Drosophila melanogaster: one gene and its partners. The protein of the gene in region 1 interacts with the protein of each later gene in a pairwise test. Each region holds a gene or a part of one and is shown in the gene's direction. Other genes may lie near its edges.

The links.
Region 2: the proteins of Rpt6 (region 1) and BCAS2 interact in a two-hybrid assay, tested with the Drosophila melanogaster proteins (one large-scale study listed by BioGRID).
Region 3: the proteins of Rpt6 (region 1) and odd interact in a two-hybrid assay, tested with the Drosophila melanogaster proteins (one large-scale study listed by BioGRID).

The regions. Positions count from the first base shown.
Region 1 is NC_004354.4:21,314,023-21,317,778, forward strand, and holds Rpt6 (regulatory particle triple-A ATPase 6), read left to right. Parts: upstream 1-2,029; 5' UTR 2,030-2,155; coding exon 2,156-2,173; intron 2,174-2,236; coding exon 2,237-2,381; intron 2,382-2,526; coding exon 2,527-3,581; 3' UTR 3,582-3,641; downstream 3,642-3,756. Other genes in the region: CG1801 (uncharacterized protein), read right to left, coding at 1-61, 129-714, 816-1,033.
Region 2 is NT_033777.3:27,920,630-27,924,039, reverse strand, and holds BCAS2 (BCAS2), read left to right. Parts: upstream 1-1,683; 5' UTR 1,684-1,766; coding exon 1,767-1,841; intron 1,842-1,908; coding exon 1,909-2,670; 3' UTR 2,671-2,757; downstream 2,758-3,410. Other genes in the region: RpL4 (ribosomal protein L4), read right to left, coding at 300-670, 735-915, 1,121-1,123; CG12259 (uncharacterized protein), read left to right, coding at 3,046-3,410.
Region 3 is NT_033779.5:3,605,019-3,608,774, reverse strand, and holds the start of odd (odd skipped), read left to right. Parts: upstream 1-2,018; 5' UTR 2,019-2,416; coding exon 2,417-2,489; intron 2,490-2,675; coding exon 2,676-3,756. UniProt on the Drosophila melanogaster protein: Pair-rule protein that determines both the size and polarity of even-numbered as well as odd-numbered parasegments during embryogenesis.

The DNA.
Region 1 (3,756 bases):
AGGAGTAGCCGTAGTGCCACTGATGCACCATCACCCCATCCTCCACCTGGGCAGCGACGTTCTGAGAATTGGGCCAGAAAGCGTCCTTATATCTCATGTTGGTTAGGTGGTGTAGATGGTGTACTTACTCTGATGATATTCAAAAAGGGCAGTAGGTATATAAAATTATAAAGGAATGTGGGCAGCTGGGCGACACTCATCACGGAGCACGGCTCGTCGGCGGCCTTCAGCAGGATGTTGTAGACCTCGACATTGGGTTCTGGATAGGTGCTAACTATGTCCTTGCGCAATTGGTGGTACCATTCCACAAAGATCTGGTGCTGCAGCTGCAGAAACCCCTCGCGAATATATATATCCTGCTGCTTATCGTGCTTGGCCCGATCCCGTCCGGGATTAATGCGACCCGAACAGCGGGTTATCCACAGGCGATCCTCGGTGAGGAACGGAGCGATCGTGCGGAACTCGCTGGGAAACCGAATCGAGATGGACAGAGTCAAAGGAGTGCCGTCATCGCGCAGATCATTGAAAACAATGCCCGCCAGGGTAGTCCGCTCATCGAACTGATTTTGCATTTCGGACTCGCTCTCGTAGCCCACGGTTGAGCTCAGTTCCAGCGTTTTGGCCACATTCTTGGTCACCTCCGATGTAAACGTCGTTTCCGGCGTGAAGGCCAGGATGTACTTGGTTTTCTCCCGCTTCGAGTCTGCCATGCGTCTGCGGAAGGTAACAAAACCATATAAATAGGTAGGAGCATTAAGTTGCGCCTTTGGATGGCGCTACATTCAAAAGGTTGTAGGTGAATACTATGCACTTACGTCAATATATTTATGTCCTGCAGTTTGTGGGACACGATGCTCTGCTCGTTTTCGTTCTCGGTGGTCGTGTATAGAAGCCTTTTGGAGTGAGCGATGGGGTTGAGAAAGATCACTAGGACCATTATCACTAGGGCGACGATCTCGAAGAGCGTCCGCCGCCACAGATTTAACTCGATGCGGATGTAGCGCTTGAAAAGAAGACCCTTGCTGGCCGGCATTTTACAATTTAAAATATAAATTTAACAAACGACAGAAATTGGTTGGCGGGTCTGCACTCCCGCACAAAACGGATGGTTTGAGTGTGAGAAGTTTGATTTTCGGCAGGGGATTTTGAAAATATTCTTATTTTGCCTTAAAACATACCAGTACTTTGTTCTCAAAGCACATTTTGATGACTATTTCAGACTACGCATTTACATGCCCAATGTTTTGAAATTTTCATAGATAATATTGAACACCTTCAAGCTTAGAATTTGTCACATTAAGTATTCACAATTAATTAGAAATACATTACATTTTTTTCATTAGCAGCGGTATTAGGCTAATTCAAGTTCATTACTTAAAAATCGCTGGTGCTACGCAAAAACAAGAGAGAACACAATGTATTTTACCACGAATCAGAGAGAAACCTATAGTCGAGTTCCCCGACTATCAGATAACCGTTACTCAGAGAAATATCATCATTTTTCTGTCTAGAAATTGGTAAATAAATTGAAAAAATGTATCGGTTTTGGCATGTCGAAAGAAATTTACAAGACTAATATAAAAATAAAATATTAAGACATTTTTTAAAAAAGTGGGCGTGGCAGTTTTGGGTGGTTTGGGTCAACAAACTAGCGCTGTCTCCAGAATCTGTATGCTTAATCTCAACCTTCTAGCTTTTAAACTTCCTAAGATCTTGAAGTTTATGCGGACGGACAGACGAACAGGGCCAAATCGACTCGGCTATTGATCCTGATCAAGAATATATAAACTTTATATGGTCGGACACGCTTCCTTCTACCTGTTACATACTTTTCAACGTATCTAGTACACTCCATTTACTCTACGACGGGTATAATCCTACGAGTAAGGTCGTGTTTTGTTATATTTAATTTTAATTGTTTACTGGACACATTTAATTCGAAAACCTTAGCTAGGTTTTTTACCACCTAGCGTTTTTATCGATGCCGATTGCTCGATGGCATCGATATTCCGAATGCAGTGCGATAACCGGCATGTGTCATCTCGAAAAGCAAATGCAGAGTCATACAATAAAGAGGAATTAATTCGACATCTTGCATTGTGGTCCTTCAGTTCGACAAATAATAACAAATTAAAGTGTAAACAGAAAACGAAAGATGACGGTGACGAATCGGGTATGTACATTTGATTCCCCCAGCTCTTCCACCGCGAAAAACCAATGCTCCATGTTTTCGCAGATGGAAATCGAGTCGGCCTACCATAAAGGCGAGGGATTCCGGTCCTACTACATCCAAAAGATCGAGGAACTGCAGCTGGTGGTGGCCGAGAAGCACCAGAATTTGAGACGACTGCAGGCCCAGCGCAATGAGCTCAATGCTAAAGGTAAATTTACTGTTACACATATGTAGATAATGTGCATAGTTGGTTAGCTGTAGGATATAGAAAACATATAAGACTTGTTCTTGGTCTTAATATCAAAAAATCTTTAAATTTGAGAAAGCAATCCTAATTAGCACGTCTTTTGCAGTTCGGATGCTGCGGGAGGAGCTGCAGCTGCTCCAGGAACAGGGTAGCTATGTGGGCGAGGTTGTGAAGCCCATGGACAAGAAGAAAGTGCTGGTCAAGGTGCATCCCGAGGGCAAGTTCGTCGTCGATCTGGACAAAAACATAGATATCAACGACGTAACCCCCAATTGCCGCGTGGCCCTGCGCAATGAGAGCTATACGCTGCACAAGATTCTGCCCAATAAGGTGGATCCGCTGGTCTCGCTTATGATGGTTGAAAAAGTTCCTGACTCCACATACGAAATGGTTGGCGGCCTGGACAAACAGATTAAAGAGATCAAGGAGGTGATTGAGTTGCCCGTAAAGCATCCAGAGCTGTTTGATGCCTTGGGTATTGCCCAGCCGAAGGGAGTGCTCCTTTATGGACCTCCAGGTACAGGAAAGACTTTGCTGGCCAGGGCCGTTGCCCATCACACCGAGTGCACCTTCATTCGCGTCTCTGGCTCAGAGCTGGTCCAGAAATTCATCGGCGAGGGTTCGCGCATGGTTCGAGAACTCTTTGTAATGGCCCGGGAACATGCACCATCAATTATTTTCATGGACGAAATCGATTCCATTGGCTCGTCGCGTATTGAGTCAGGTTCCGGCGGCGATTCCGAGGTGCAGCGTACTATGCTGGAGCTACTTAACCAGCTGGACGGCTTTGAGGCCACCAAGAACATCAAGGTGATCATGGCCACCAATCGCATTGACATCCTGGATCCCGCTCTGCTGCGTCCCGGCCGTATTGATCGCAAGATCGAGTTCCCGCCACCAAACGAGGAGGCGCGTCTGGACATCTTGAAGATCCACTCCCGTAAGATGAACCTCACGCGTGGCATTAATCTGCGCAAGATCGCCGAGCTAATGCCAGGCGCATCAGGTGCGGAAGTCAAGGGCGTCTGCACGGAGGCCGGCATGTATGCGCTGCGCGAACGACGCGTCCATGTCACCCAGGAGGACTTCGAGATGGCTGTGGCCAAGGTGATGCAGAAGGACTCGGAGAAGAACATGTCTATCAAGAAGCTGTGGAAGTAGGCGTTGATCGGCCATTGCAAAAGAACCCTTATATTATTTTCAATAAATACATCAGTTAGTAACATAAATGCATTATTGTGTCATTGGATTTACTCCTTAGTCAGTACGCACAACCCAATTATGATCTTCACAGATAACTTTCGTTCAATGATATCTGAAGAATTGAATAGATTAT
Region 2 (3,410 bases), on another chromosome or scaffold:
CGATGGAAGCCGTGAATCAAGTTTCAATCGTAACGCCAAGAAGAGCATTTTATCTGGCAACGCAGGAGATCCCTGCAAGCATCGGACAACCAGAAGAGTAGCCAGTTGCTTGCACGCTGCCAAGTAAGATTTAGAAAGCATCCGAAAAGTAGGAATCCAATAAAAAGTTATAACTTTGCAATTAAAACATCACAACTTCACGTTTTGTTAAATAAATACGTTGAAGTTGAATAGACGCACAGTTAAGTGACCTAACATTCTTCGGATTAAGTTCTTCATAGGTGTACAAAGTTACCCACCTTCTGGATGTCAGCCCAGATCTTCAGGCGACGCAGGAAGATGACAGCCTGCTTGGTCTTCTGGACCTTTTGCACCTCATCGGACACGACCAGCGGGAACTCGGAGACGCCGTCGATGACATGTCCCTTGGACTGGACCAGAGCTGGCACTCCTGAGGCGGCGATGGCCGACACCAGGGCGTAGCGACGCTGGTTGACATTCACCTTGCGGTGCCAGCGACGGAACGTCTTGGTGGGGGCGAACATGCGTCCACCACGGCACATGTTGCCGAAGGCTCCCTGGCCGGAACGGTGGGTACCGCCACCACGCACACGGGGAATACGGGCCACAGCACGTCCGGTACCCCAGGACTCGGCGGAGGTCTGGTGACCTGCAAACAGGAATTCAAACGGGTTAGATTCACACAAAAGAGGAGTTATAAACAGTTTACTCACCAGCCAGCTCGCTGACGGCGTAGGCCTGTCGGTTGTTGCGGCGGAGCAGCTGGTGAACCTCGTTGACCACATCCGGACGAATGGGCGCCTTGAACACTGCCGGCAGGCATATGTTCTTGTCCTTGGCTGGCTCGTTCTTTTCCGTGTACACGGAGACCAATGGCCTGGCGTTGCCTAAGCTCTGAAAGTGCACATGGTATTCGGGTTTAGTTCACTGATCATTTCACATCACAAAACACAACAAGCGCATTTCGCCATCGCCGCACATTCCAAACACGTGGAGGTTAGGGCGACACTTTTGCACTATTTTCGCATCGTTTCGTGTGTTAAATCCAATGTTTTGGGGTCTGCTGCGGTTGCGGAGTGCCTTGTGCTTCGTTTCTCACCATTTTCGTTGATTTTCAAACCCAATGAAAGGTGCTAAATATTCTGCAAACGCAGATACCGTCCTCTTTTTATTAAGAAGAACGAAGAAAGAAAGAGAGCTGCCGGAAATGGCTGCCAATCGCGTTCCACGGCGCATGGTTGCATTTGCTAACAGCAGCAAGTGTCAAGCTTACAGGGCTAATTGGACGCTGTCCAACACTTTTAGCTTTTTTTTTCTCTCGTAAGAGAAGTTTTTGTTTATATTCTCGCAATTAAACTATAATATTACAAATCTAAATTCGAATTTATCAATAACGTATTTTAGTTAAATTTATAAATTAGCAATGCGTTTTTAAAGAACAAGAATACAATTGTTGTAATTTAACCGCATAATAAATAATCAAACAATACATAATACATACATACGTTAAAAACTAACTTACACAACTTTTATTGGTGAGAAAACAACGCTTATTTTTTGCTTAAATGTTCATGTTAAAACAAAAAAATTTACTAAATAGATATATGGCTATTAATTAACAGCATTCTGTTATCCGTTTATATAGCTATAAAGTAGCTAAATGTGCCACACTAGTGCGAAGCGGCAATTGTATTTGTTTACTTGCGGAAAAAACAGTCTCAAAACACAGAAATTAATAATAAATAATGGCTGGCGAAGTTATTGTGGATGCTCTGCCCTACATAGATCACGGCTATGACGATGTGGGCGTCCGGGAATCGGTAAATATACGGATATCCATGTTGCACGTTGAAACTGACTTTGAAATGGCATCTTCTTCTTCCAAAGGCTCTCGCCATGGTGGAGGAGGAATGCCGGCGCTATAGGCCCACAAAAAATTACCTTGACCATCTGCCACTGCCCGCCAGCTCGCCCTTTGAGACTCCGCTGATGGCCAACGAGTTCGAGCGCATCCAGAACCGCCTGCCCATGGAGACGCTCTCCATGAAGCGCTACGAACTGCCACCGCCGCCATCGGGCAAATTGTCGGAGGTGTCCGCCTGGCAGGAGGCCATTGAGAACTCGATGGCCCAGCTGGAGCACCAGTGGGTGCGCTCTCTCAACCTGGAGCTAATGCTCGACTACGGCACGGAGGCATGGAAGTCCTACCTGGAGGTCTTCACCGCCATGCAGGCGAAGGCGCAGCTCCAGCTGCAGCAGCTGAAGAAGGACATTCAAGATGTCAACTGGCAGCGCAAGCAGGCGCAAACGCAGGCCGGCGAGCGACTGCGCTCCCTGGAAGCCCATTGGGTGCTGCTGGTCTCCAAGAACTACGAGATCGAGACGGAGTGCGTCGAGCTGGAAAAGATCGTCCATGCCGCCCGTCAGCAGCTGCGGAAGATTACCCCGCCGCCCAGCGCCAATGACACGGCTCCAACGCCGGAATACACGAATGGTTTCGACCAGAACGATTTGGCCGAGAGCAACGGCAGTAGCTCCAGCAATCCAGATCCAAGCCAACCTGGCGATGATGGAACAGATGCCGATGGTGACAGCAAGGAGGAGGACAAATCCGAGGCACAGGAGGAATCTTCCAATGGATCAACGTAGATTTAGTACACTGAGCGAAAGCATGAAGCAAGTTAAAGAAAAACTTACGACTGTAACTAAATATAAAGGATATTAAAAAAAACAGCTAAAAATCTAAGATTTATCTTTATTTTTCAAAATCGTTGCAGAGAAATAGTGATCCTCTTCTTTTTGCTCTTATATCAGGGGAATGGACAGCTAGTAAATTTTAAATAATTTCAAGATTAAATATTTTATTATTTCAAATTGGTAAGGTAGTGTTTTGTGCTGTAAATTTTTTATACGAAGAATGGCATTTTTCAATGTTTCTGCTACGGTCACACCAATTGGATGTTTACAAATTTCGTTTACGAATTAAATAAAAAAAAATATAAATAAATACAGAAACAACTAAGGATGGCCCACTACAAAGGTGCCGCCAGCGAGGCGGGCCGTGCAGCCCAGCTGATGAAGAAGCGGGAGATCCAGCAGCAGGAGATCGAGTTTCGCAAGAAGAAGATCGAGGAGGAGCTCAAGCTGGACAAGATTGAGAACAAGTTTGCCACCCACTACGATGCCGTGGAGCAGCAGCTCAAGTCCTCGACCATTGGTCTGGTCACCCTCGACGAGATGAAGGCCAAGCAGGAGGATATAGTGCGGGAACGGGAGAAGAAGCTCGCCCAGAAGAAGGACGAAAAGGATCGGGAGAAGCAGCGCGCCCTGGAGGCCATTCAGGCGGAGAAGAACAAGCAGAAGCGGCAGATCCAGGCGCTGTCCTTCAA
Region 3 (3,756 bases), on another chromosome or scaffold:
AAAATCGACAATCCGAGAGTTCCAGACACACGCACTCTGGGAAAAAACGTCCTGCAGCAGGACCTTTGCCTATTGATTCAGGCTGTTTGATCATTGGCTCGCCGCCGCTTGGGAAAGTTTGTACTAAATGTTGTGTACATATTGCTTAATTTAATCACCCAAAGTCAATCCTGCCAAGGACCGCTTGTGACGGAGTGTGTCGCAATGGGCTTAGTCTCAGGATCCTCGGATCCTAAGTCCGTATACGGGTAAAACCAGTCAATGGGAATGTTTCTTGTTTTGCCAAGTTAAAGGATTAGTCGCAGATCCATTGCGGAAATGCTTCACCTGGAAAGTCGACAAGTCAAAGTCATGGGAATGTACGGAATTCGGAAGCAGGATAATAGGATATGCATTATCCATGTTTTGTCGGACTTGGGAAATATCTTATAGTTGGCGGAAAATCCAACCGAAGAATAGGATTTAATTCGGAAGCATAAATATGGCATGTGCAATTTAAAACTATTCATTAATGAGGAAAATTCGTATTTTCTTGAATGCTATGAAATATTTGTCTTTTTAAATGAGATATGAAAAATATTAATTATATAGAAGCCCGAATAATAATAATAAAAATTGTAAAGATATTTAACTACAATATCCTATAAATAACAACTACATTAATTTGATGCTTCAATAAATTTTGATTGGAAACATTCAACCCGCAGAACTTATATCTTTTAACCTTTTCCTATGACTTTACCTATTTCTAGTTTCCAAGCAATTTCCTTCAAAATATGTTAAGAAAACTGCCCATAAAGTGCACCTGCTTGTCTCGATTCAATTACAAATTATTAAATAATTATCCAAGTGAGTAGCATGAAGCATTTCGAATGAGGAACTCATTAAAGATGATTTGACAAGCTCGAGTCGCACTTCAGTTGAAAACGGTGAAAGTTCAACTATTACTTAACAACTACTTAAACAACTGAATTACAATAAATACAATACTGAGTAAAATAATTAAAAAAACTCGAAAATAAATGGTGTGTGAAAGGCATACCCAAAACTAACCAGTAATTGTGTACAATCCTTTTAATAAAGTCTTTCAATTACATTACCATTACCTCAAACTCGTCGTTAATTTGCTGTAAAATATGTCCGGCTTATCCTGCCGGAAACCCTTTTAAAAGCCAATCAATTTTCGCTACAAACGGCCGTTTCCACCCACTCGAAACTTTTATCGCCATCGCTTTGAAGCGGCTAATTGAATTCCAGATTAAAGTGTAAAGCAAAATGGGGGGGAATAAAAAAAACTGATTTGTATTGCAAATTAAAATTTAAGTGAAAACGAATCAGGCGCAAACACAAACAGGGACAATAGATTACAATATCCTGCGGCGCAGACAGCACGACATTAAAAAGGCACGAGGAGCAGCGAGAGCTGGCGCGGAATGGGTATGGACATGGCAATGGAGGTGGAAGGGACGCGCCAGGACGACACAGGACCTTCGTGCAGCTGCTGCTCCTGCTGATGGCACATGCGCCTGGGAGGGCTGCGTTTCGGGATTGGGACTGGGATGCGGGCTGGACTCCAGCGATGGCTGCCTGCCATCAGCGGCAGAAGCAGCAGCAGCAGCAGCAGCTACAGCAGCAGCAGCAGCAGCAGCAGCAACGGCAACGGCAGCAGCAGCAACTACGGCAGCAACATCGGCAGCAGCAGCAACACCAACAATATCCCAGGCTTGCGACCGTCAGGCCAACGGTTTCCGCTTGCTTACTGCTGGAACGGAAAAAGCCAAGGCACATATATCCATGCACATCCACAGGCACATTCGGTCGGAGCCACATCCATGGGATAGTAGATACCGAACGCTGAGGGCCAATCCGAGAGCAGCAGGTAGGCGTGGACGTATCTACCATTTCCAAACAACTTCAACCCCGCCACAGGCAGCTGCCGTTGGTCGGGCCGCTCGCCACCCTCGTCGCCCTCCTCCGCACTTCTCGGCCGGTTCAAAAACGGGTCGCCCTGCCAGCAGTTGCAGTCAGTTATTAACGAGCGCTACTCCCAACAGCAACATCGCTCAGCGGCAGCAGCAGCAGCAGCAAAAGCAAAAGCAAAAGCAACACTAACAACAGCAACACGAGTCACTCAAACGTGGAAGCGAGACAGGAATATCAGCACTCCACTCGCCTCGTTTCACTTCGATTCTCAAGCGTTTGAGTCGGAGAGCGGCGAACGGCCAACGAATTCAGTTTGTGTCGAGACGTTGTCGGTGGCACGTCGCATCCAAAAGAACGCTCAGTCAGCTGGGAAATATACTGAGAAAAGATACATTCGTAGATACAAGTGCTAAGCCAAAGTGAACCGTGCAGTTCGCGCAACTAAACAATTTTAAGCCAAATAAAACTACACAAGGCCAACAAAGACAGTATAATGTCTTCCACATCGGCCTCACCCATCAGCAACATAACCGTGGATGACGAGCTCAACTTAAGCAGAGAACAAGGTGGGTTCAAGTTCAAAACTGGCTCAGAACAACTTGGCAAATGCCGACGGCAAAGCGCATTACTCTCTAGCACTTTTTGACTAGTTTCAAAAAATGTTCCATTAATATTTGAAAGTAGTCTCACATAGCATTGCATTTATATGAATTGAAAACTAACCGTGGGCATTTCTATTCCTTCCTTTTTAGACTTTGCTGAAGAGGATTTCATAGTGATCAAGGAGGAGCGCGAGACAAGTCTCTCCCCCATGCTGACGCCCCCGCACACGCCCACCGAGGAGCCGCTGAGGAGAGTGCATCCGGCGATAAGCGAGGAGGCGGTGGCCACCCAGCTGCACATGCGACACATGGCCCACTACCAGCAGCAGCAACAACAGCAGCAACAGCAGCAGCAGCACCGCCTGTGGCTGCAGATGCAGCAGCAGCAGCAACAACATCAGGCTCCACAGCAGTATCCAGTTTATCCCACAGCCAGCGCCGATCCCGTGGCCGTGCACCAGCAGTTGATGAACCACTGGATCCGCAACGCAGCCATCTACCAGCAGCAACAGCAGCAGCAGCAACATCCGCACCATCATCACCACCACGGCCATCCGCACCACCCTCACCCACATCCGCATCATGTGCGTCCCTATCCCGCTGGCCTCCATAGTCTGCATGCCGCGGTCATGGGTCGCCACTTCGGAGCCATGCCCACCCTGAAACTGGGTGGTGCCGGTGGAGCGAGTGGTGTACCCAGCGGCGCAACTGGCAGCAGTCGGCCAAAGAAGCAGTTCATCTGCAAGTACTGCAACCGGCAGTTCACCAAGTCGTACAATCTGCTCATCCATGAGAGAACCCACACGGACGAGAGGCCTTACTCCTGCGACATCTGCGGCAAAGCCTTCCGGCGACAGGATCATCTGCGGGACCACCGGTACATCCACTCCAAGGACAAGCCCTTCAAGTGCAGCGATTGCGGCAAGGGTTTCTGCCAGTCGCGCACCCTGGCCGTGCACAAGGTCACCCATCTGGAGGAGGGTCCGCACAAGTGTCCCATCTGCCAGCGGAGCTTCAACCAGCGGGCCAACCTCAAGAGTCACCTCCAGAGCCACAGCGAGCAGAGCACCAAGGAGGTGGTGGTGACCACCTCACCAGCCACTTCACATTCGGTGCCAAACCAGGCATTGAGTTCGCCTCAACCTGAGAATTTGGCACAGCATCTGCCTGTCCTGGATCTATCCTCGTCATCCTCGAGCTCAGAGAAGCCCAAGCGGATGCTGGGCTTCAC